Linked DNA regions of Oreochromis niloticus. The protein of the gene in region 1 purifies or fractionates together with the protein of each later gene. This does not show direct contact. Links are inferred from orthologs where the notes say so. Each region holds a gene or a part of one and is shown in the gene's direction. Other genes may lie near its edges. The genes, in order: cdk5rap3, ufm1 and pip4p2.

Region 1 (7,787 bases):
CAGAAAGCTAACCTGCAACTGTTCTGATGGTTTATTTCCAAGTAGAACTGCCAAAATACAAAAAGTCAGAAATTACATATTTTAAACTGAATTTTGTAAGTTTCACGTTTACAACAGTGCATCATGTCCTCAAAACCACAAAATAGCATTTTTACTGTAGCTGTAAGCACAATCAGTGAGACTATTATGGTAAGTCCAGCTCTGAGGTCTTTTTAATTTAGTTTTACCAGAATTTAGAGGAATTTTGTTGAGTTACTTTACCAAAGCGGGGACCAGATAGATTCAATGAAAACATAAACGTGCGATAGACACATAAATTGTATGATCTTGTTCAGGGAGCGTATTAAGTAGTTTAGATTAACCCCACCTCTCTCTGCAATATTTAAAATTTAAACTTGAAGCTTTGGATGAAACTTTAAAAAGTGTTTAGATAAAAGCGTGGCTCATAAACCAAATTTTATGACTTTCACAAACACAACCATATCGCTCTCTTTTATGAGGGCTGACAGGAAGCCAGGCCCTTTGGTGTGGTTATTTTATCATGTAGCACCTATGCAAATAAAGAGTCCATGCCCTTTGCAGAAACACTCATCCTACTCTTATCTGACCCATGTGATGTTTGGCACCTGGCACGAACGAAGAGTGCAAAGGTTCTTTGATTTAAAGTTTTGGAAACAGCAATGCAGGCACCTTTTACATTTATTCCTCTGGACCCGGTCTTGCTCTTTGCTTAATAACCTGGGTTTGTGGTTTTCACAGACACTAGGGTAATAGTTGCTCACCAAGAAGAACTTTTACAAGTGACTGAAACACTTCAAAGTGTTTACTTGTGTTTCCACAGCTTCTTTTATGTCACATTCCTTAGATTTTAGCATTTTTTTTCTCTCTGTTTCATCATCTGTTTGTTTATTCCTACACAAAAAGGACAGGTTTCTTCATAGCAAACATTTACAGAGCATTTGCATAATTTTGTTGACTCTCCATCAAAACGGTTTCTACAAGACAAAATACCTTCTCGGCACTTTCACACCATGTTAAGTAAGAGAGCTTGTCAATATGCACACATATTTCCAAAAGAATGCTGTGTTTGACTTAGATGTGACCTTTGAGACAAAAACTCCTGTTGACACAAAGGAGGCCCTCCATTTTAATAAGTTACCATGTATTCTGTTATGTGTGGGTGAGCCGCCCAAGCAAAGCCTCAGAGATCACAGCAGGAACTGTGGCGCACAATCGGAAATCACTAACAACCTGCAAAGTCTTTGAAAAGAATAACGTTTGAGACGCAGAAAGACAGAGAGGAGCCTCCAAGGGCACCGAGGGCTTTGCTGCCTTTGTAACTTAAACTGAAGGTTCACTAGATTCTCGGGTTTCATTCCTTGTACCAGACTTGCTGTTGACCCCTAGCAGCAAAGTTTTTTAGCTCGTCTGATTATTTCCATTAATAAAAATGTCTTTTAGTCATTTGTTCCAGAGGTCTTCCTGCCTTCTCAAAGGTCACAAAAATCCACAGACTGATTAAATTGTAAACTTCACACAGGTGCAAAGTCCAAAAAGGTTAATTTGTGACTGTAACTCTTTTATGACTTAGTGTTATTCTAACCAGCTCAAACATGACAAATAAAATCATGTTAAAACATATCTGCACTATGTTATTTAGCATGCATAGTAACCCTGTTGGCCTCCTAATACTTTCTGATGTCAGACAATGCATTAGTGTCTCCTTCAGGCTTCTACCCTTTTTAATTATTCAATTAACTGTCTTTAAAACAGCGGCAAAGGTCAAAATGTGTCACAGTTTTGTCCATCTCAAGCTGATTTCTTCAAATGTTTTCTTCTGTAAATCAAAAGCTCTCAAACTGTGCATTTGTTTAATATAAGATGAGTAAAAATCCCAAGTTCTCACTTTTTAGAGGCTGAAATCATCGAATGTCAGACCTCTTTTCCAGGAGATTTTACTTCAGCCATAATTTGACTGTTAAAACACAGCACTCACCTCAAGTTACCCAAGCTAATGTCTCCATATTTATTGTTTTTGTCCCTGAAAAACTAAAAAATATCCAGTTTGCATCCACATACTGTGAAAAAATAAAGTCAATTCTCCAACTTAAGGAGCTAGAAACAAAAAACTTTTGACATTTTCACTTGGAAATTTGACTTTAGCTGTTGTTTGGCTATACAAATACAGTACTGCAGTTCTAATATGTTGATCAGGGTTGTTGAGCTGTGGAAATACCAGCGAAAAAGATGGAAGTAGCATGTTGATTTTTGTAATTAGAGTTAAATGTGTATTTCTTGCACAGATAAAAGTCTAGTTTCCAGTGCAGTTCATCGGAGGCTTTCAGGTGCGCTCGTTCTCTTACCTTGTTCACAGTGTGCTGGCTGAAAGGGGACTCTCTCACATGCGACACTGTCTCGGCATGCTTACAAACTTTCTGTCTCCGCTCTTTGTTTTTCAGTTGATTCTTTTTCCTCTCCTCAGGTGAGCGTGCACAGGTGCAGCATCTCTCTCCCTCTGCCTCTCCCTCTTACCTTGTCCCTCTGCACTCCTCTTTAGCACACACCCTCCTCAAACACACACATACACACACACCTAGAGCCCGCCCAGCTGAGTGCATGACTGAGGAAATGTTGCAGCCATGTGATTTTCAGCTCAGTCCCATATCAAGATCTCTGACATCAGGGCTAATGTGAACCTGAGAGGTGAGCGGCTTTCCAAACTGTAAATAAAACCCCCGTTATCAGTCTCACTTTAAATCCAAGTATTGTTTTAATGTGGACTTTGGAGTCAGAATAAAGTCACCTTTCACTGAGCATTTTCTCTTACATAAGTCTTTGTGATGGCTTTAAGCTGGAGGGAGAGAACGAGAGCAATCGAGCTGCTTTGCATGGCTTGTTTAAAATCACAGACAGTGAATAGACGCTTAATTTGCAAGTTTGGTCACCATTCAAATGAACTGAAATTAGGCCACTACAGAGACTCTGTTGCTGCAGGGATTTAACGCTTGTGTTTTCATGTTTGTCCAGTCTGGAGTTCACAAGAAGCCAAATTGTTGAATTATTGCTGTTGTTTTTCACCCATATCCCTTTTTTCAATAACAAGAATACACTGTGTCAGTCTCTGTTTGCTCAGATTTAAGATTATGTGACGTAATGAACAAAATAAAACTGTAATGACACATTTAACTTTTTAAAAAAGTTTTTAGTAAATAAATGTTTTTTTAAATAATTTACATAACAAAGTTTAATGTTTCGTTATTAATCACTGAATGGCCAAAATCAAACATAAATAAATAAATATTAATAATGATGTCTCATCAAATGTATAAAATATAACAGATGAACATAAAATGTAGGGTTAATTGATATTTAATTAATTAATTAATGTTATTTTTCTCCTCTGTCTACCAGTATGATGTTTTGCCCCTATGGTGTTTCTGCCAGTTCCTTTCTGTACCCCGCTCATGTATTGAGCCACATGCCTGTTGATCTTAGCCGTTATAATGCCCGACAAGAGCTTCCATGTGGTACTGAGGCAGGTTATTGGCCAATAGTTGGATGGGGCTGGTCCCTTCTGGGGATCCTCTGGGATCTGGACGGCCCAGTCTTCGGTTAGTCATGCTGGGTGTGCCTCTTTTATTTGCAGTTGGTTCCTTTGTGCAGTTAGTGTCTTCAGCTAGTAGGAGTGAATCATGTTGGGGCCTGGTGCTATCCAACTCTTCATACTGGAGACCGTTTCTTGGATGTCTGCCACTGTAATGGTACTAAACCCTGTTCAGGAAGGTTGCTGTGGTCTTAGATCTACTAGCCACTGAGGCCTCGCTCAATGCCTTCAACACACCAGTTGTACTTGGTACCCAATCTCGGGTGGGGGTGATGATATCTCCCCCTTGACCTGACATCCTGGCCCCCCCTTGCTGTAGCATTTGTGTTGTACTTCATCAATCTCCAGTTGTGATAGCAGTTGCTTCTTCCGCATGCTGGAACACTGAGCTACGTAACCCTTTCTGTTGGGGTTAATTGCATAGTAGCATTCCAACAGCACCGTGTTCTCATCCCTTGTCCACGTCTGAGCTTCTTGTTCCACTAGTCCATTTCTCATCATTTCATCATCTCATTTCAACAAATTTCATTTTTTTAGTTTTTTAAACAATAAAATTAAGTTTAGAATTCAAAATTTCCTATTTATGGATATAAAACTTTGGATTAGTGTTCTGATTCTTTTCCCCTCAATTTTGTACATGAATTTAAACATGCAAAGCATTAAGTGCAAAGAAATAGCATACTTACAATAGTGTGCTTGGATAATAGAGAAATATGTATATAGGAAAGCATGAAATAAACAAATAAAGAGAGATATAAATGAGATGTAGACACATAACCAGAATCATTTAAATACATGTTTAAAGAAATTAGAGCACATTTGTCACAACTATGTCAAATGTTTTTATTTTAACAGGCTTACAGGTAATAACTGTCTAGATAGATAGATAGATGTAGATTTCCTTTTCTGAGGGGAAACTACATTTATGTTTATTTAACTGTGCAAGAAATATCATCAGACCTTTTTAAAAACAAATGACTGACCCATAACAAGAAATAGCTAACATTTTCCAAGTATTCTTCCACATTTTCCATGGGCTACTCTTAGTTTGGGAATAACTGACCTTAAGTAAAGTGACACTATCGCCCTCTAGCGACAGTCTCATTAGTTGCACCAATCAGGGGCCACGACGATTCACCAATCCAAATGCAGCCATCGACATGCCAACATCCCCTCTTCCTATTGGCTCTGCTTCTCCTAACGTGTCATAAACAGGAAAGCTCCGGATGGTGATGATAATCCTGCATATAAACCGGAATATAATCGTATAATGAAGCTCTGAATTATCGGAAACGTTTTTAAAAAGAAAGGGAAATTATGGAGGTGAGATTAAACTTAGTTTTTATCTGAGCTGGCTTTAAAAACTAGCCTGCGAGCTAACGCTAGCTATCTGACAGTCAAAAGTCCACTTAAGTGACAGAGAAATGAACACTTTACACTGAGTTTAAGTTAGCAGAGAAAACAATCTGTCCTATGACATTTTTTAAGATATTTATTCACAATGTCTTCCTAACGGTTTAATGTGATATTGTCCTTTCCGTAAGTTAAATAAGAGAGGTAAAGAGGAAGTAAAAGGTGTAAATAACAAAATGTATTAACTGTCTCACTGCAGCGGAACATTCAGAACCTTCCCATCGACATACAGACCAGCAAACTTTTAGGTAAGACAAAAACACGCACATTTAAAGCAAGCACTAGTTTCTCTATGTGTTCCTCTGTAGCTGGGCTACTAGCAGCTAATACAGCCCTGTAGTCCTCTAGCATGCTGGCTGAAACAGATGTTACAGATGTAAACTCGCTCTGTGTGGTTGCAGACTGGCTGGTGGATCGGAGGCACTGTAACCTGAAATGGCAAAGTGCAGTGAAGGTGATCAGGGAGAAGATCAATGCTGCCATCCAGGACATGCCGGAGAACGAGGAGATCAAGGCGCTCCTCTCCGGCTCATGTAGGTCCCCTACAACTCAATACACCCACCCAGCCATCGACTTCTCTGAGAGATGAATCTATTATGGACCCAGCAGGCTATTTAGCACCATTTCTACTATTCTCAGGGACTCTCCTTTCCAACCAGACATAGGTTTAGGGTTACTTTATAATCATCAATGAAGGCTTAAACCCCACTTCACAACTTTATTAATGTTTTTTTCTTGTTATCATTATTCTTATTTTAAGGTGGTGTTACAACCCTGCTAATGACTGCAACAAAGTGGAGACTAACACTGGAGTTTTTTTAATGGTTTTATTTTAAAATACTGTCCAATCTAAGCTAATAATGGCATTCAGGAGAGCATGACAAGGTTTAGCAATAAGTGCTGTCACTCCCAAACCAACCTCAGGCATGCTTTTGCACAACTTGTGGACAACTAGCAGTTAACCTCAGGCAACTCCCAAAGACTCTTGCACTGCTACTGCAACACCAGCAGGGGTTGCAGAGGAGCATGGCTTTGGTGTTTATTGTATTTTAAGCAGCTGTTAATATGCACTGCTTTTAAATCTTCATCCATATCTGTGCTTTGTTTGTTTTCACTGACAGACATTCACTACTTTCACTGCTTGAGGATCGTGGAGATCCTGAAGGGAACTGAGGCTTCCTCCAAGAACATCTTTGGCAGATACTCGTCACAGAGGATGAAGGTGAGAGGATTCATACACTGGCCTGTCAGTGTCACATGTTAAGGGGATTTTTTTTATTTGGGATTTCTGCTGTAAAACCTTCTCCCTTGTTGTTTTGTTTTCACAGGACTGGCAGGAGATTGTGTCTCTTTATGAAGCAGATAATGTCTATTTGGGTAAGTGTGTTAGGAAAATAAGGGAAAGACATATCACAATGTCTTCTTTATAGTATAAAAACACCTGTGAACGCAGCTACGTGTGTTTTTGCTCTGTATTTTATACAGGGTGTCTCTGGCTCCTTTAAAAATAAATCTTAAAATATTTTTAATACATATTTACTGACAGTATGGATGAGTTTTAAGTGTTTTTGGTCTTGTTAATGTGCAAATTTCCATCTCTCAGTGCTGCTATTTTTGTCCCATTTAGGTCATGAAATGTGACTGTGTACAAATATGTGTTAATTCTTTGTAGTTCAGCTAAGACTTTCATGCTGTTTAACATGCGTAAAACCAATTAGTAATGAGATAATGTATACTGGTTAACCTAATTATTGTAGCTTGTGCCTAAAAGAATGTCTTAAATATAAGGACCCCTGTACTTGGGCCCAGGCAGGAAATTGGTTTAGGCCTAATTGGATGTTGGCCTTTCAACACACTGGTGGAGAAGGCAAAGCAGACCAGTCTACTTGTTTACACAAAGTGCCTATGAGACTGTTTGTTTTCAGTTTATGTCATATTGTCTATATTTATTTAATTAGCTTGTTTATTTTGCAGAGACAATAAACAAGACCCGAAAGCTCATTTTCATCTGTAGTTTTTAGACAGATGAACCGAGTCAGTAAATATAAAAGCATTCTTTAGTGCAAATAAATTTAAACCATGTTAACCAAAGTTCATTTTCACACAGCTTGCTGTCTGCAGAACTGCGACTCTTTCAGCCACGTTTTCTGATGTTCTGTGGTTAGAAATTTCACAACTCTGCTGCCTTAACAGAAAAACAGTTTAATCATCCAGTGTTGTGGACTAAAATGTAAAACTTTCCATATAAAGATTGCTGATATAGCAGCACAAAGCAAGTCCAAGAGAACTTCTTTGTGACGTTTGCATGTCACAGTAAATTTTAGAGCTCTATGTACGCCCTCTAATTATCACATTTCCCAAGTAGGGCCTTGTGGATGTACAAAGTCTAACATGTGCATATCAAATACAGCTAATGTAGAGGAGTATAGAAGTCACTTCACTATGGTTAGAAAACTTTAAATTAGCAGCTAAAACTGACATCTCCTCAGAGGAAGGTGGTTCATGTTGCCAAATGTTAGTATTGGTTCCACTTGGGCTTCAGTCATGTCCTTGATTCTGCTCCAGCATCAGAACACTGAGAACTTCCGGGGTACAAGATGTAAAGATGCAAGTTTAACGATAAATGGCTTCGTGCTGGTTGGAGCTAGTACCTGGAAATATGGAACGTGTTTCAGATTTAGCACCATGACATAGTGTTCAGAAAAACAATTATATATTTGGACAATATTCTTCAACAGCACCATGTACTTATATTTTTCTTGGTGATTAT
Region 2 (7,807 bases), on another chromosome or scaffold:
AAAAGGATCTGGGGAATGCATTTACGACAGCAAGGTTAAATAGATCTATCAATAACATTAATAGTGGTTAGAGGCTGGGGCAGGGTGTCACATCAGTGTTCTGCACTCTATACAAACAGGGTGTCATGTATGTCACTGTACAGTGTTCTCTTGAGAAACATCCGAATATATATCAGGAAAGCTGCTTTGGTGCTTTGCTTATCATGCCCTCTCCCATGTTAACACAGCACAGGCAAATTATTCCCCAGCTCAAATTTAATTACGACTCAGTATGCTGGGGATTATGCAAAGTAAGTAAACATTAAAAGAATGACATTGGGGCTGTCCCCTGAGGTATAGTCGCCGTAGCTGTCACATATAATTATTCATTATTGCTTTTCACATGAGGGGCAATCTTATCGACGTGTGACCATGTAACAGCGCCGAAAATGATCATGAATTTTCCATCCTGGCATAAAAAGGTGTTGTTAGGCAGGATGTTATCAGAGGATACTTGTTTTAGTGCAGAGTCAAGCAGTTAATACAAATACATGAAGAATGAAGGGGGAAGAGAACACTGCGTTAAGACAACTGTGAGGAGATGAAGTAAACTTCAGCAAGCCTTTCAGAACATCAGAATAATAATATGGGCTAAATTCTTTTAGCTAACATCTGTGCAAAATGTTATTTTTTAACACTGTAAAAAATTGTTAATGGAGACACTTCAGATATGTTGAACAGCATTAGGACCAGAGAGGAAGCTTTCAGTGTCCTTAAAGTTTAGATCTACTGTGCTTAAACTGTTGAGACTGGAGCCATGTCTTCTGCAACAAGTGCTCCTTAAAAGTTACTTTACCAGAATTTTTTTTAATTTGGATTATACTTTATATCTGTATTCATTTCTTTGAATTTCCAATATCCCACTGAGATACTAACATGATTAGACACTGCTGCAAATGACACAGTGAGCAACTACAGGTTACCTAATACAAAGCAGAAATACAATGAACCTATGAATTAAGCTGCACAGCCATGACAAAAAGGGAGATGCACATAAATCCCAGTTAAAAACTCCCTATTTTAAATCAAAGAAACAAAGAAACAACTTAAATTAACCACAACGTGCACAGTCACAAACAAGTAATGCCTTTCATAGACCACTGGCACACTGGGCTCAGGTGTTGCCAGTGTTGCCTTACAGGAAACAAACCACACCGCCTCTCCAGTGCCTGCAGAGAAGAAACTGCCACACAGGCAGAATGAAAGAGAGGTGGGGTGAAGTGGATCATCTATGAGTTCTTCATGTTTGAAGGTGGGGTATTTTCTATTTATTTCAATAACCTAGAATGAGTTTAGGTGTTTGTTTTTTGCCAAGACCCACTGAGCCTGTCAGTGATTAACAGGAAATGAGAATTGTATTACTTTTTTATCCTGTTTGGACTGGCTTTGTTTTCTTTTCTATTAGTTTTAGATATTTGTGCACCACAAATCTTAACTGATATGTTACCCTCCTGAACTGATGACCCTTTGTCATGTTCAGCCTAGGCTTTGCTCATTTAAAAAAAATTAATACAAAAAAACAGATAAAAGATAAATCTCCAGTTTTTCTGGTAAAATCAACAGTGAGTGAGGTAAAAAGAATAATAAAATAAAACATGAGCCTTTCTGATCAGATCAAAATATCTGATGTTTCGTGTTTAGCTGCTGCACTGGCATTGTGCAGCGAGTAGAAACACAACACAGAAAAGCATAACACTGCTGAAACAGGCATAGCACACAACAATCAAACACTTTGGAGCTTTACTTAGTGGGTGTTGAAGAGTACTGTGCACAGCAGAATTTCCTATATATAAATAGATAGCTGTGTGAGCCAGAGTTCTTCAGCAGCAACTATAGACACTATTTCATTTACACGCTGCATTACCATTACTCGTGTTGCTTTATTTCACCGTGATGTCTATGCCCTTTTCCTGGAGATGTCCAATTATGTCAATATTTCTGCCAATCCAATGAAAATTTATACAAACTGTTCAGAAGTGACCTTTTGGAACTAAACTAATATCTGTTGCGTGCATACAGGAATGTGCATTAGGCACATAGATTTGGGCATATGTTTACACGCATAAGGAGGAGTATTAATGTAGTTAATTGTTATATTTCTGCTGGTAATGCTGGCATTTTCTCCCTCTGTCCATGAGGTTTGCCTTTTTTATGCTCTTTCAGTGGAAGCTACACAATGCACTAATCCTATTGCTGGGTTATGCATTTTGAACACACCCTCAGACTTTCTGCAAGAAGAAGATGATGGGCAACTGTCATGTTCTTCAAAGCAAATATTTCCTCTTTGCCACATTGACAGAGGCACTCCATGAAATGTGTCTTTCTGTATGGAACTCATTCATTATACATTTCTATTTATGATCAAAGAGAATGAGCTCAAGACAGGAACTTCAATCTGACTAGTTCATTAAAACTGCCCCGAATATGCTGAATTAAGTCTCTGTCTCTGTTTTTTTGGGCTGTCAATTACTGAAAACTGCATTCAGTGTATATTCATTATACGTCATCAGTACAAATGTCCTGCACAAAAGATTCTGCAAAAAAAACTTGAACCTTTGATCCATACAGTGGGACGAATTAAGTGACCAGTATGCTCTGAGTGCCATTTTGCTCTTATTGTATAATCATCTTTGGCCTCATTGAGGGAAGGTTCACTGCAAATCAATACAGAGTTGTTCTGAGTGTCCATTTCTATTCTATGATGACATACTTTAGTGGTGATAGTAGTGGTCGCTTCCACAATGACAATGCCACCATCACAAGTGGTCAGTGAATTGTTTGAAAAACACAGAATTATAGTCTGTGTTCTTCACAGTCACTGGATCTCAACCAACTTACACGCCTATGGGAGATGGAAGATTAACATATTAGGCACAGCTCTGCACCGTCATTATGAAGACACCAAGTTAAAGAAGATCATTTGGAAGAATTGTTTTTCCCTCCAGCATAGACTTGTAAAAATCAATGCCAAGGAGCTCTGAAGCTATTTTGGCAACTCGTGCTTTATGTGGGGTTTTCCTTTTCAGGCATCCTTGTGCTGTTTCTCATTTCCTCACATGGAACATTCCTCTATATTCCATGATACATTACTATGAAAGTTTTAATCCTTTGTGATTTTTTTTTTTTTAGTAAACTTCTTCTTTTTTCTACATTTTCCTGTGAAAAACTCGTCACTGAATCCCAGAGGTGTTTGCCTGAGTGTCTGCACTGGAACTCTGAGTCATCGAGTCTGTTGCCATCTTTTATGCTGGTTGTCATTTCACTGCCTACAGTGTATCACCTACTTTTTCTTACTACTGTACCAGAAGTGCCAGGAAAGAGGCTAAGAAAAGAAAAGAAAAGAAAAGAAAAGAAAATGTTATTTATAGCTAACAACCAATTTTTTCTTTAACCACACTGAAGACACGTTAAGTCACTTCTACCTTTCTTTTAGCATATTTTGCATGTAAAATCAGCTTTAATTGTAGTCTTTGCCTTCAGTTTGGATGTGAATGTGGATTTATTTTTGTTAGACTCATTAGGAACTTTACTAATTCAGAGCAACAGGTCAGAAAATGGCTTAAGATGAAGGCTGGTTTACATTAATCTTAAAGTGATATGTGTTACTATTTTATATGTGTATGTTATTTGACAATAGAAACTGTTATATTATTGGGAATAAAATTCCAAAGTATTATCGGGCTGTATTTTAATGTCACAAAATTCCAAAGTATAAAGTATGCTGGAGCACAAGAAGTAGGAAATAAGGTAGTTGTTAGCCACATTTACCATACAGTTTGTTAGTGGTTCTAACATCAAACATGTATTGAGATTTTGCCATTGTAGTGGGGCCATTTTCATCAAAAATAAAAGCAATCCAGAGGTTCTGCTGGAGTACATGAAGACTCTTAGATTCACTCTTACAGCCAAACAGTTCCTCTGCTTTGCTCATAGCTTTTACTCTTTAGAGACAGATTTAGTGAAAGCAGCTCTGGTTTTCTGGCAGCTGGCTTCATCAGGACATGAAGCTGTTTTCTTTGTTTGAGGCTCTGCCAAACTAACCACTAGGCGGGCATTATGACAGTGGTGCAACAGTGTTTTCTGAGGGAGACGGTAGTTCTTACTGGTACAGACTGTTCATAGTTTGGAAAGCTTTTTTTTAATCCACCAAAAGCTATATCACATTGTTAAAATTAGGGGGAGAAAATCCCCAAAGCACAGTGGGATACCTAAAGGTGTGCAAAGTATGAAAAATCTCAGATTTCTGTAAATGTTAAATTCTATGCATGAAACAAACTAATTAAAATTAAAGGTGATGCTTCTTTTCACCAAAAGAAGCACTGGATTTAATCATTTTCTTTTTAATTCTTACATTCTTCCCAACAACATCATGTCAAGCAGCAAATTTCCAATCTGAATGAGGGTTATGTTTGTTTAACGTCAAGAACCTGGATTGAGTTGAATAACAGTGCTGAAAGATGTCAGTGCGCCTCACAGAAGTAACTGCGTCTTGTTTATAACCTTTACGGTAATGGTTAGCTATTTGCTATGAATGCCTGTCCATTAATAGGACATACAATGGATTATGTTTGAATAATAATGCACAATTTAACTGAAAAAATTTAGTCATTTATAAAAAAAATCTTAGCTAACTATTAAACTTTAAAATAGATACATTTACTTCTCAAAATTGGCACCAGATGGATGACGTGTACGTGAGGGTCCTTCTGACTTCCGGGTTTGTATAAACAGATATCAAGCGGAGTCGCCTCGCCCATAAAGATGTGAGTTTTTGGACTTTCGTGAAATTTTGACATGGACATATTTTATATTCATTCACGTGTATCCGTCTGTTAACAACTGTAATGGTGTGTTCTTCATTAGGTCTAAAGTAACGTTTAAAATCACCCTGACGTCGGACCCCCGGCTACCATACAAAGTGTGAGTATACTGACAGCTCAGCAGTCACCGCTTTAATTTCTCAGCCAGCTACATTTTCGACTTTATTTAACGTTTAGTTAACATTTCACGGCTACTGCAGATATTTTGTGTTTGTAGTTTTTTACTAAGCAACGTAAAAACGTGGGGAATGAGTGAACATCTGCTAGTGCCGATGCTGACACTGTAATCACAGTCGGCTTCCGTTTTCTGTAGTGTGGCTTCACAGCATTTTATGAAGTCTGTTATGAATGAAACTGACTATCTTTAGGTCGTGATCAATGGGAATGGCACTCATTAAAGTAATTTGTATAATATATGTGAATCCTGACAAACAGCCAGAGTCATAAAAGTATTATTAAATTAATTTTAAACTTTTAACTGTATTTCTACAAGTTTTACAGCTTTTCCTATTAATATCCGCCATTCGTACTACATCAAAGTAGTTAAGTAATAGATAAATAATTAAATGACAGAAAAGTTTCTCGTTTTCCATTATTTACAATGACTCTGTAGTTTAAAAAAATATCTGAATGAATAAAAACTGAATAAAAGTTGGCTGTTTGGGGCCCTACATTTTAAAATTGCGTTGACGTCCCTGCTATATGCAGGATAAATTCACATCAGAATGTGGACAGGACGAGCAGAAACGGGAATCATTGTGGCCAAGGCTAAATGTAAATCAGACCTTTTAACATTAAGCCCTCAGACAGACTGTTATGGCTGTGGTGTTTGACTCTGCATTGCTTAAAGGCACAATGTGCTTTTTATAATCCAAGTCTTTGTCATAGTCAAGTACAGGCATGTTTAACAAAAACACTCTGCTTAGAATGCTAATTCAGAGTATAAGTCTTTTTTTAATCTAGAAAAAGTTAGTTTAGCGAATCTATTTTTTATAGTATTATTGTTATGAGTTTGATAATTTGATGAAATTGAAAAAAGCAAACATTCAATAGCTTTTGATACAGAGTTTCAAATTTTAAGCTGTATTCTTGAACCAAGTATTCAAATCTAGGTTTTCAATATTTTTTCTAATACTCTGGTTCTTCTGTTTGAACAACACTTGGGCGTATCAAGCAGATCCATTTCCGTTTCTAGTTGAACTTCAGGTTTCTGACAAATTACCTGAAATCCTTCATGGATTTCATGCAGAAATCATAGTTGAATCAATTTTTGCCATTTCTGCAGCTGATTTGTTTTATCTTTGTTTGTTTTTGGTTTTTTTAGTGCAATATAAAGTGGTAGCATGAACAATAAAAGACTGGAAAAAATCTTGTTCAGGTCTTATTTAAATAGATTATTAAATAGCTTATTATGAATGTATTCACATGAATGAAACCAGGGAATAAGGTGGAGCTGAATAGCTTTGTAGCACCTTGATCTAATGAGTAATTAAATTTGAGGTTCGACAGGTTCGGCAGATTATTAGTAAATGAGGTAATTTTTTGTGTCTGGTGCTGCTTCCAGTGTCATCACGGAGATACTTGCTCAGTAATAAGAAAATAATGACTTCCCACAGCCCACTTACAGCCTCAACACATCCTTTTCCATTCTTCTCATCCCTGTGATGCGTTCGTGGGGCAGACAAAAAGTTGCAATCGTGGTACAGTCTAGCTACATAAACAGATTAATGCTTTTTTTAAGTGCCAGGTAAATTCAAATGTAACATTTCAAACAGCTCAACACAAACGGAAACTGTTTCCATGCTGTTCGTGTCTCTGAGCTGCTTTATCTCACAAGCTGAGAAAAAAAATGTTTGAGACTGATACACAGACAAATAAATGTCAGGAGAGGAGAATGACATTATTTTTAAGTTAAGCACTGCTTAGCAGGTGAAATTTTATAGACTGGAAATTTAAATCTTACATGCAATGTCCTCATTTATTTCTAATAATTTTTGAAATGAGATATAAATAATGTTTTGCTGAATCAATGCTTTCAAAACTAGCTTGCAAAACTAAAAAAGTGTATTAAATTTATGTTATTCAAAGGTTGCATAAAATACCAGGCAGTTTAGTGCAGGGTAAACTGATTAGTTTGCAATATTGTGGTAGAATTTAGAATGATGCAACGTGTTGGGTTGGTTGCTTGCTGAGTACTGTTACTAGGTTACATCAAGGGTAGCAAACATCAATTCATATTTAAGGTGATTCACTCGCTGGATTTTACCTTCCACCTGTTAGCTTTAGCTTTGTGTCTAGGAGTTAGCAATCAGCCATATAACTAGAGCAGAGCATAGAGTAGCAGCACAGGTCATTTGATCAAAGTGTATACACAAAGAAAAATCTACTGGAGCTCACAAACAAATCATTATGTGACTTAATTCTAAGTCATTCTTATCCCCATGCTTAAGGATCCTCCCCCTGCCGAATCTCACTTTAACCCCTAAATAAAACCAAAGCAGTGTGTGCCACCTTACATAAAAGAAGTCTGACTGTTTCCTGCCTATTAGATTAACAAAAGGTATAATGGCTTTGTTTTATATACTGGTTTTACATACTGGATTATGTCAACTGGTTTTGTGTATATGGGCATAACATTCCTGCTATCACATTATCTCAAAGCACTTAAATTGTTGAGCTTTTGTTGACCTTTTAGGGACTAATTTGACATTAGTAGCAAATCAATGTGTGCTAACTTCTTAAAAAATATATACAAACAAAACATCTTAAAATCATATTATATGACAATCATTTTTGTAAGCAGCACCAAATGAAATCCCTATATTTTAACTATATTATTACAAAGCAGAGTTTGAAAGCAAGATTAGAATTTATGTAAATTAAAGATTTTCCATTCTGGTTGGAAACCCAGCTAAACCCTAGTATTAAGCTGTAAATTATAAGTTGAT
Region 3 (7,510 bases), on another chromosome or scaffold:
TACCATCAACACTGACACAAATACAAGAAAACAGCCTTTGAATAGCTGTCCACTATAGTAGCATTAATATCACTTTGACTTTCAGATCAATCCATAGACCTTGAGGGCAAGGTCAGAGGCCAAGTATGACATGTTTTAAATCATTATACAGTACTTTCTATATATTGACAATACACTGCACACTTAGAATCATAGCTTCTAAGTTATAAGGCTTTTTGTCAGTTTTTGACCAATAAATCATTAAATTGACCTTGAAGACCTCGGTGGATGTAAATTTTAATTCATGGGGTGTGACATGATCCCACTCTAAAATTACAGAGTTCTTTTATTCATTTAAAACTTTAATAATATATATAGCCTATTTAATAGTATTCACCTCTACACCCACCAGCTGATCTTGGGTTATTCCTCCCACAAAGCTGATAAATGAATTCTCCACTGTTATTGTTTCTTACCTCGTAAAGACACCCCGCTCCTTGCCCTCTTTCCTCTTCTCTGCCAGAGAGACAAACACGGTCTCCATGCTTTGCATAGTTTCGGTCACTTTCTGGTGGTCTGATCGGATCCCCTGGACCTCCTCTCTAGCTTGGTGGTCGTAGGACAGCCCTCCCTCCTCCACCCCGCTGGAGGTGGACACCGCCTGCAGGGCCGCCCTGTTCTGCAGAACAAGCAGACGAGACCTGGCAAACTCTTTGGGTCCTGCTATGTTTTCCCAGCAGATTGGAGATGATGGAGGGAGCCAGAAGCGCTGTGTGCAGTTGACTGGCTTTTCTGAGGACTCTGTTGTGAAGGGGCTGTCAGCGGGGAAGCTGTGGAGCAGGTGCAGAAGAGACGATCCAGAGCCCCACTCCCAGTCCTCGAAATCCGACTCCCCTGACCCTTGCTCAGGGGGGAAACTAGGAGGAGGACTTGCTGGTCCTCCATCCTCTGCTGGAGAACAGATCCCCAACAGGAGGCAGAAGGACAGGCAGAGCCAAGCCCTGCTCACTGTCCCCTGGAGCATCTCCAAACTGACTGCATTAAAAAGAAAAAGACTTAGACACGCAGGAATCACCAGAGAAAATCCATTCACTATGATTATTATCAAGTATTCTCATACTTAAACTTCATGTACAAGAGAAAACTACTGTGTGAAGGGCAAGAAATTTCTACTGATCAATAGAAACATGAAAAATAACACTGAGACCTCTTGATTGCATGCATTCAGTGACATAACATTCAAAATAAAAGCATGAAGTTTATTAAGTTCAATAGCAAATAAGCTTAAATAAATTTCTTATTAAATTACACCAAAAAATAAATCCTGTACAAAACCAGAGAACATACATTTGTGTTTTTTTCTCCTGCAGTTTAACCGGAAATTTGCCTCAGTTTGGGTAGCGTCATAGTTGGCAACAAATCAAAACTGCAAACGCATCACTGAAGGAAATCCTGAACTCCAGATCACCGCGATGTTTTTTTTTTGTTTTTTTTTTTACGGATGTAATCTGAATTTTCATTTTAAGTTGACTTTTGTTCAGCGGTCTTACCTTACAGAGAGAGCACAGAGCACAGAGCGGTCTCTGTTTGTGCGTAGCGGCGCTCCTCTGGTGCCTGCAGCCGTCGGAAAAAATGAGTCGTTCACTGCAGACTGTTACATGCAATCTGAATCACTTTTACTGGCCCGGTAACAGCAGAATCAGGAGCTTGGATTTTTCCTCAGTGGAAGGGGATGGGATGGGAGATTGTAAAATGCATGTGAGGTGTGGGTTACAGTAAAAACTCCCTGCTGGAGGGAGAGAGCGCCATTCTCTGCATCGTATCCCTGCTTTGATGTGTATTTACTTCTGTGTGAGCTTCATTTTCTATGCTCATTTGTGCTTTACTTCTTTTGTGAAGACTTTTTGATTTGAGTGACAGGGGGAGAAGGATGTGCGATGCTGTATTTATGAGCCATTTACAACATCCTAAACAGCTACAGCAACACGCTCGAATTAAAACACCAAATCTGCTTCTTAAACTAGCTGTTCTGAAACCATCCCTGAGTTACACTTGAACACGATGCTACCCTGAAGTTACTGGAGAGAAAAGAGTTTCAAAAAGTACCCAGACTGTCCATGAGCTCAAAACTCATGCAGAGCATCTGTAGTTATTTAGCGAGTTTTTTGAATGACCAGAGAGTGGATCTACACAGCCTGAGGCTTTCACCCTGACATAAGCTGCAAGGAATGGGACACATTTTGGCACAAACAAGCCAGGGTTTTGCAATTTAAGGGGAATGACGAGCAGTTTTCTGAAAACAAACACTAAATTTGAGGATGAATTGTAAAACATAAAAAGGGTGGGACTTAAAAGCATTACACCACCATGAGGTCCTGTTTATGCCATAAATCACTGGTTTAGCTTAAGTTTGCCTGCTGCCTCGCAAAGTAAAGTTTTTAAAGGTATTCACTGGGTATTTTAGTAAAATGTAAAAATAACATGACAATAATAAGAAGCCGAATAAAGTTAAAATATTAATTCCACTTTGTTTACATGGTTCAGTAACACTTCATTTATTTGATCTGTTTGTAAGAGTTGACTACTTTTATAGTAATTTTGTATCTTTATACTATTGTTGTCACCAAAAAGTGATCTAATGTGACTTTGACCTTATTAAAAAAGTATCTACACACAGAAATATACATTTTTACAAGCTTTTATCGTGGTTTGGATTGTCTGGAAACAAACGGCACATTTGAGAGAAAAACCAACACTATTATTCCCTTGATGGAAAGATTTCACTTTATGAGCATGTGTGCTGGAAAATATTGTGATTTACTTTTAATTTTTCTTTTCAGTGAGAGAGATCAAAGCTTAAATTTTACAATCCCAATTCTGAAAAATTTGGGATGCTGGAAAACATGTCGTCAGATGTTTAAACTGAGAAAGTGCATCTTTTTCAGTCAAACTGAAAAAGGAGTGCTGTTTATAGTATGAACAGTCGGCTCTATAAAGGCCATCTGTGTGGTTCACATGTTTGTATAATTGTGTCCAAATGTTGTAAATACAGTGAAAAGCAAAGTCCAAAACTGACTCTGAAATAAAGAGAAATCTGAGTCACAATACTTTGAAAATTCTGGCAAAAGCCCTGATCACTTGTATGTTTATTTATTTATTTTGGGGGGTTGTTATATCTGAGGCTATTAAATGCCCAGAAGTTTTTCTTTTGCAATTCATACTACACTAAAGTAATAGATAGACAAATATAAAGACATTTCTAAAGGACCAACATTTTTTTAAATGATGATTTATTATTTTATGACTCTCTTGTGGTTGTAATTGCAGGACAGTCTGAGCAGTGAGCTATCAGAACCTTTTCCCGCAGGTTTTTTTAGTTTTCTGTAATGATTTCTTTCATTGACTGCAGCAGCATTCCTTTATCATGTACAATGCTGTACTGAGACTTACCATTATAACTGCACTTCTTATTCTTGTATTAAATGGGATTAAAAGTGCAGTTAAACATCTTTACACAGGCAGAAAACGGCAGGTATGCTTAACAGTTACTTAATTTTGGTACTCGTGGTCCTCCATATTGTAAAATGAGTTTGCCACCCCTGGTCTACATAAAAAACACAACACAGCGGGACTTTGCTGTGTGATACGGAAGCGTAGTACGGAAGCGTAGAGCTACGGAAGCGTAGAGCTGCCACCCAGGCAAAAGAAAAATAGAAGTATATCACGTTATAACGTGAAAAGTTTATTGTTCTAACAAGATACTTTTCATGTTTGTACAATATACTATCATGTTTGTACAATATACTATGTTTGTACAATATACTTTTGACGTTTGAACAACATAATATCACGTTATTACAATATTCATAAATATCACGTTCGTACAATATATTTATATTGTACGAACGTGATAATTATGCATATAATTATTGTTCAAACTTTTGACGTTTGAACAATATAATATCACGTTATTACAATATGCATAATTATCACGTTCGTACAATATAAATATATTGTACGAACGTGATATTTATGTATATTGTAATAACGTGATATTATATTGTTCAAACGTCAAAAGTATATTGTACAAACATGAAAAGTATCTTGTTAGAACAATAAACTTTTCACGTTATAACGTGATATACTTCTATTTTTCTTTTGCCTGGGTGGCAGCTCTACGCTTCCGTAGCTCTACGCTTCCGTAGTGTGAACCTGACAATAGTAAAATATGGTGCGAGCGTGCTCTGACTGCACTGCCCCGGACCTCAGTAATCCCACGGTGACATCTAGCGGCAACAGCTGTGAGTTGCTGCTTTTTCTTATCCCACCGTTTAAACTCTCAAACTTTATCGTCACGTATGGATTTCATTAATGTTGTTGTTATTCTTAGGCTTAAATATGAATAAATCTGTATTTGGGGTATTAAAGGGAACAACGCATTTTAAATCAATGCAGTTTATCAGGAAAAAATTAAAAAATTCCTTCAGTGTGCACCAGCATGAACTCTGCCCATGCCCGGGGCCATATCTTAGAGGGGCGGGGACCACCGCGGAGCTCCTCCCCCTCCAGGCTGCCGTCAGCGGGGCTGCTGCTGCTGCTGGACCGGAGCGAGTCGGCACCAACAACCAGCCTCTGGCTGCTCCTCCGTGCTGAGGGAAAACTCGGTGCAGCCAGGAGCCACCCCGTCATTTATCACGGTCAACGACATGGCCTCCGACGGCATGGACGAGCGATCTCCGCTGCTGTCGGGCCCCAACTCCGAGAATGTGACCCCGACAGCTCCCCCGTACCTGCAGGATTCAAGTCCCCGAGGTAAACACGCCACACGCAGCACCCCGCCGCCTGCATGCTGAATCATTTTCAGGGCGTATCGAGTTTGTGTGAGTGCGTAAATAAAGCTGCAGCAAGGCGAGGCAAGGGCATTGCTGGGAAATCAGTCGGCAGCTGACTGAAAGGTGGAGCTTGCACTGTGAGAACTGGAGCAGTGGGTTATGTAGAAGGGGCCTGCGGTAATACCAGCAGTAGCATCAAACAGTGTTTTCAGTGCAGAGATTTCTACATCACGATTCACTGGGGCCTGCCGTGACTTTGGCTAGCAAAAAAAAAAGAAAAAAAAAAAGGTGTGAGCTGAAGCTCTGCAAAGCCTCAGTAGATTTTAGGTTGAATGTTGACGTGGGAGCACTGAGGCATTGCAGATGGAGGCAGGCGAAGCATCCTTTTGTCCAGCTGCAGATCAACAAAAGCACCCACAGGTGTGCCCTTTACGGGAGAAATAATGCAACACGAGTTAAATGTCGTATTCTCCTGTTTTAATGATGGCAGCTGTGAGTTTTGCTCGTTTGCATGGTGAATGCACTGTAAGCGACGAGCTTGAGCCTTCTTGCATGATTTGCATCTTTCATACAGCAGAAAACATAAACATGTAAGTTACAGCCCACAGTGCTTGTTCTCAGGACTGGCAGCAGCTGTCTGCACTGACCTTTGCTCTGAATATAATCTCCTCAAATTCTCAATTTATTCTTCTCCACAAGAAGAAAGACGAAGCAAAGTGCTTGTGGGAGCTGCAAAAATGCATGATCTCACATAGAGCCCTCCTTGTGTTTTGCTGGCATTAAATATTGATTCAGGCTTTACTTTCACCTCAGATCACATTCTCTTGTCTGAGGATTAGATTTTGAGTGCTACTTTCAGTGGTATTTGACTTTTTTTCCCCTGTTTCCGCTTCTAAGTTTTTGTCAGCGGCCTGACAGAAACAACGTTTCTTTGCTTTGCAGCAGCTCGGGATGGTCGGCAGCAAATGAATGGACTCATTGACCGTGTAAATCAGTTTAAGGAGCATTTCAGGCCAATTTCAAACAAACAGAGGAGAGAAAGAGAGAGAGAAGTGCTTGTTGTTCTCGAGACGTCTAATCCCACAGAATTCATATTTCACCACGGGATTAAACTCTTAATGCTGGACTGTAATAATCTAGGAAGCGAGAGCCTGGCTGGATGCTAACACAGTGACACAGTTTCTCCCTCCACCCTCTCTGCAGACTGGATTATTGGCTAATTCCAGTGTGGGTTTGTAAAATGGATTAATTTGATCCTAAGATGCCAAAACTGTGACATTTCCCGGAAACACAATGACTGTGACGCTGCTTTGACTAATGAGCAGCTGCATTAAGGCACTAAAGTGAGCTGTGGCTTGAATTTAAATTTTTATGATATCCATGTAATACTTGTTGTGTTCACTGAAATGATTCTGTAGTAGCAGGTAGAAATTCAGTGGCTGCTGCTTGTTTTTTTTAATTTTGCCCTAAAATAATCAAAGAAAAACAAACGGTCTGCCTCGTTTAAAATGAAGCTTTACCAGCTTCACATTATCAGGACTAATTAGTCCAAGGTGAAGTCATGAAACATCAGCAAATATGTTAACAGGTTTCTTTATATGAAGAGATCCAGTTACCCTGCTATTACAGTACCGAAATAGAAAGGTCTGATTCTTCTTGTTAGCAACTCATGGTCACTTTATTAGGTACACCTGTTCAACCGGTCATTAATGCAAATATCTAATCAGCCAGTTGCATGGCACTAACTCGGTGCATTGATGCATGTAGACATGAAGACGACTAACTGAGAATCAAACTGGAGAAGAAGGGTGGTTTAAGTGACTCTGAATGTGGCATTGTTGTTGGAGTCAGACGAGCTGGTTTGAGTATTTCAGAAACTGCTCATCTACTGAGATTTTCCCCACACAACCGTCTCTACAATTTACAGAGATTTGTCAGAAAGTGAGAACAAATCCTGATCTGATAGAATGTCAATAGCAACTGAAAAAAGCAATCAACCAAGATATGGAGAAGAGGATCTCTGAATGCAGAACATTTTGAACCTTGAAGCAGATGAGCGACAGCAGCAGAAGATCATCGCAGGTGAGACTCCTGTCAGCTAATAACAGGAAACTGAGACTACAGTTCACACAAGCTCACCAAACATGGACAATAGAAGACTGGAAAAACATTGACTTGTGTGATGAGACTTGATGTTAGATGGTAAGGTTACTGACCACATCCATCGCTTTATGACCGCAGTGTACCCAGCCTCAGATGTTTGCTTCCAGCAGGATAACACACAATGCCATAAACAGGTTTCTTGAACATGACAGTGAGTTCACTGTGCAGGCGACAGATTTGCAGCAACTGTGTGATGCCATCATGTCAATATGGACATTACACCATGGAGAAAGCGCCTTGTTGAAGCCACGAAGAACTAAGGAAGCTCTAAAGGCAAAAAAAAGGGGTCCCATAAAATCCTGGAAAGGTGTACCTAATAAAGTGTCTGGCAAGTGTATATAAATTCAGTTACATTAGTATGAAAAATCTGTTACTTCACTTTCTCATTAAAAAAACACTGTTATCTTGTTTTGTTTTGTTAGTAGTAGAAACTCTCAGTGTCATGTTTATCATGAAAACACAAAGTTAAAAATATTAACTTGCTGATTCCACCATTAAAGAACTGCCTCCAAAGAGAGAGCAGCTACTGTGTGGAA

Evidence for each region.
Region 2: the proteins of cdk5rap3 (region 1) and ufm1 purify together in Homo sapiens (co-immunoprecipitation; 3 studies listed by BioGRID and IntAct, with this or other methods). This does not show direct contact. The link is inferred for Oreochromis niloticus from reciprocal best matches to the Homo sapiens genes CDK5RAP3 and UFM1.
Region 3: the proteins of cdk5rap3 (region 1) and pip4p2 purify together in Homo sapiens (affinity purification with mass spectrometry; 3 studies listed by BioGRID and IntAct, counting the BioPlex papers as one, with this or other methods). This does not show direct contact. The link is inferred for Oreochromis niloticus from reciprocal best matches to the Homo sapiens genes CDK5RAP3 and PIP4P2.

The regions. Positions count from the first base shown.
Region 1 is NC_031973.2:5,428,591-5,436,377, reverse strand, and holds the start of cdk5rap3 (CDK5 regulatory subunit-associated protein 3), read left to right. Parts: upstream 1-4,761; 5' UTR 4,762-4,921; coding exon 4,922-4,927; intron 4,928-5,216; coding exon 5,217-5,265; intron 5,266-5,418; coding exon 5,419-5,550; intron 5,551-6,138; coding exon 6,139-6,239; intron 6,240-6,345; coding exon 6,346-6,394; intron 6,395-6,401; exon of another isoform or gene 6,402-7,668; intron 7,669-7,787. UniProt on the Homo sapiens protein: Substrate adapter of E3 ligase complexes mediating ufmylation, the covalent attachment of the ubiquitin-like modifier UFM1 to substrate proteins, and which is involved in various processes, such as ribosome recycling and reticulophagy (also called ER-phagy).
Region 2 is NC_031975.2:15,565,403-15,573,209, reverse strand, and holds the start of ufm1 (ubiquitin-fold modifier 1), read left to right. Parts: upstream 1-4,701; 5' UTR 4,702-4,800; coding exon 4,801-4,802; intron 4,803-4,902; coding exon 4,903-4,959; intron 4,960-7,807. UniProt on the Homo sapiens protein: Ubiquitin-like modifier which can be covalently attached via an isopeptide bond to lysine residues of substrate proteins as a monomer or a lysine-linked polymer.
Region 3 is NC_031985.2:21,131,780-21,139,289, reverse strand, and holds the start of pip4p2 (type 2 phosphatidylinositol 4,5-bisphosphate 4-phosphatase), read left to right. Parts: upstream 1-4,503; 5' UTR 4,504-4,685; coding exon 4,686-4,791; intron 4,792-7,510. Other genes in the region: uncharacterized protein si:ch211-57n23.1, read right to left, coding at 456-1,003. UniProt on the Homo sapiens protein: Catalyzes the hydrolysis of phosphatidylinositol-4,5-bisphosphate (PtdIns-4,5-P2) to phosphatidylinositol-4-phosphate (PtdIns-4-P).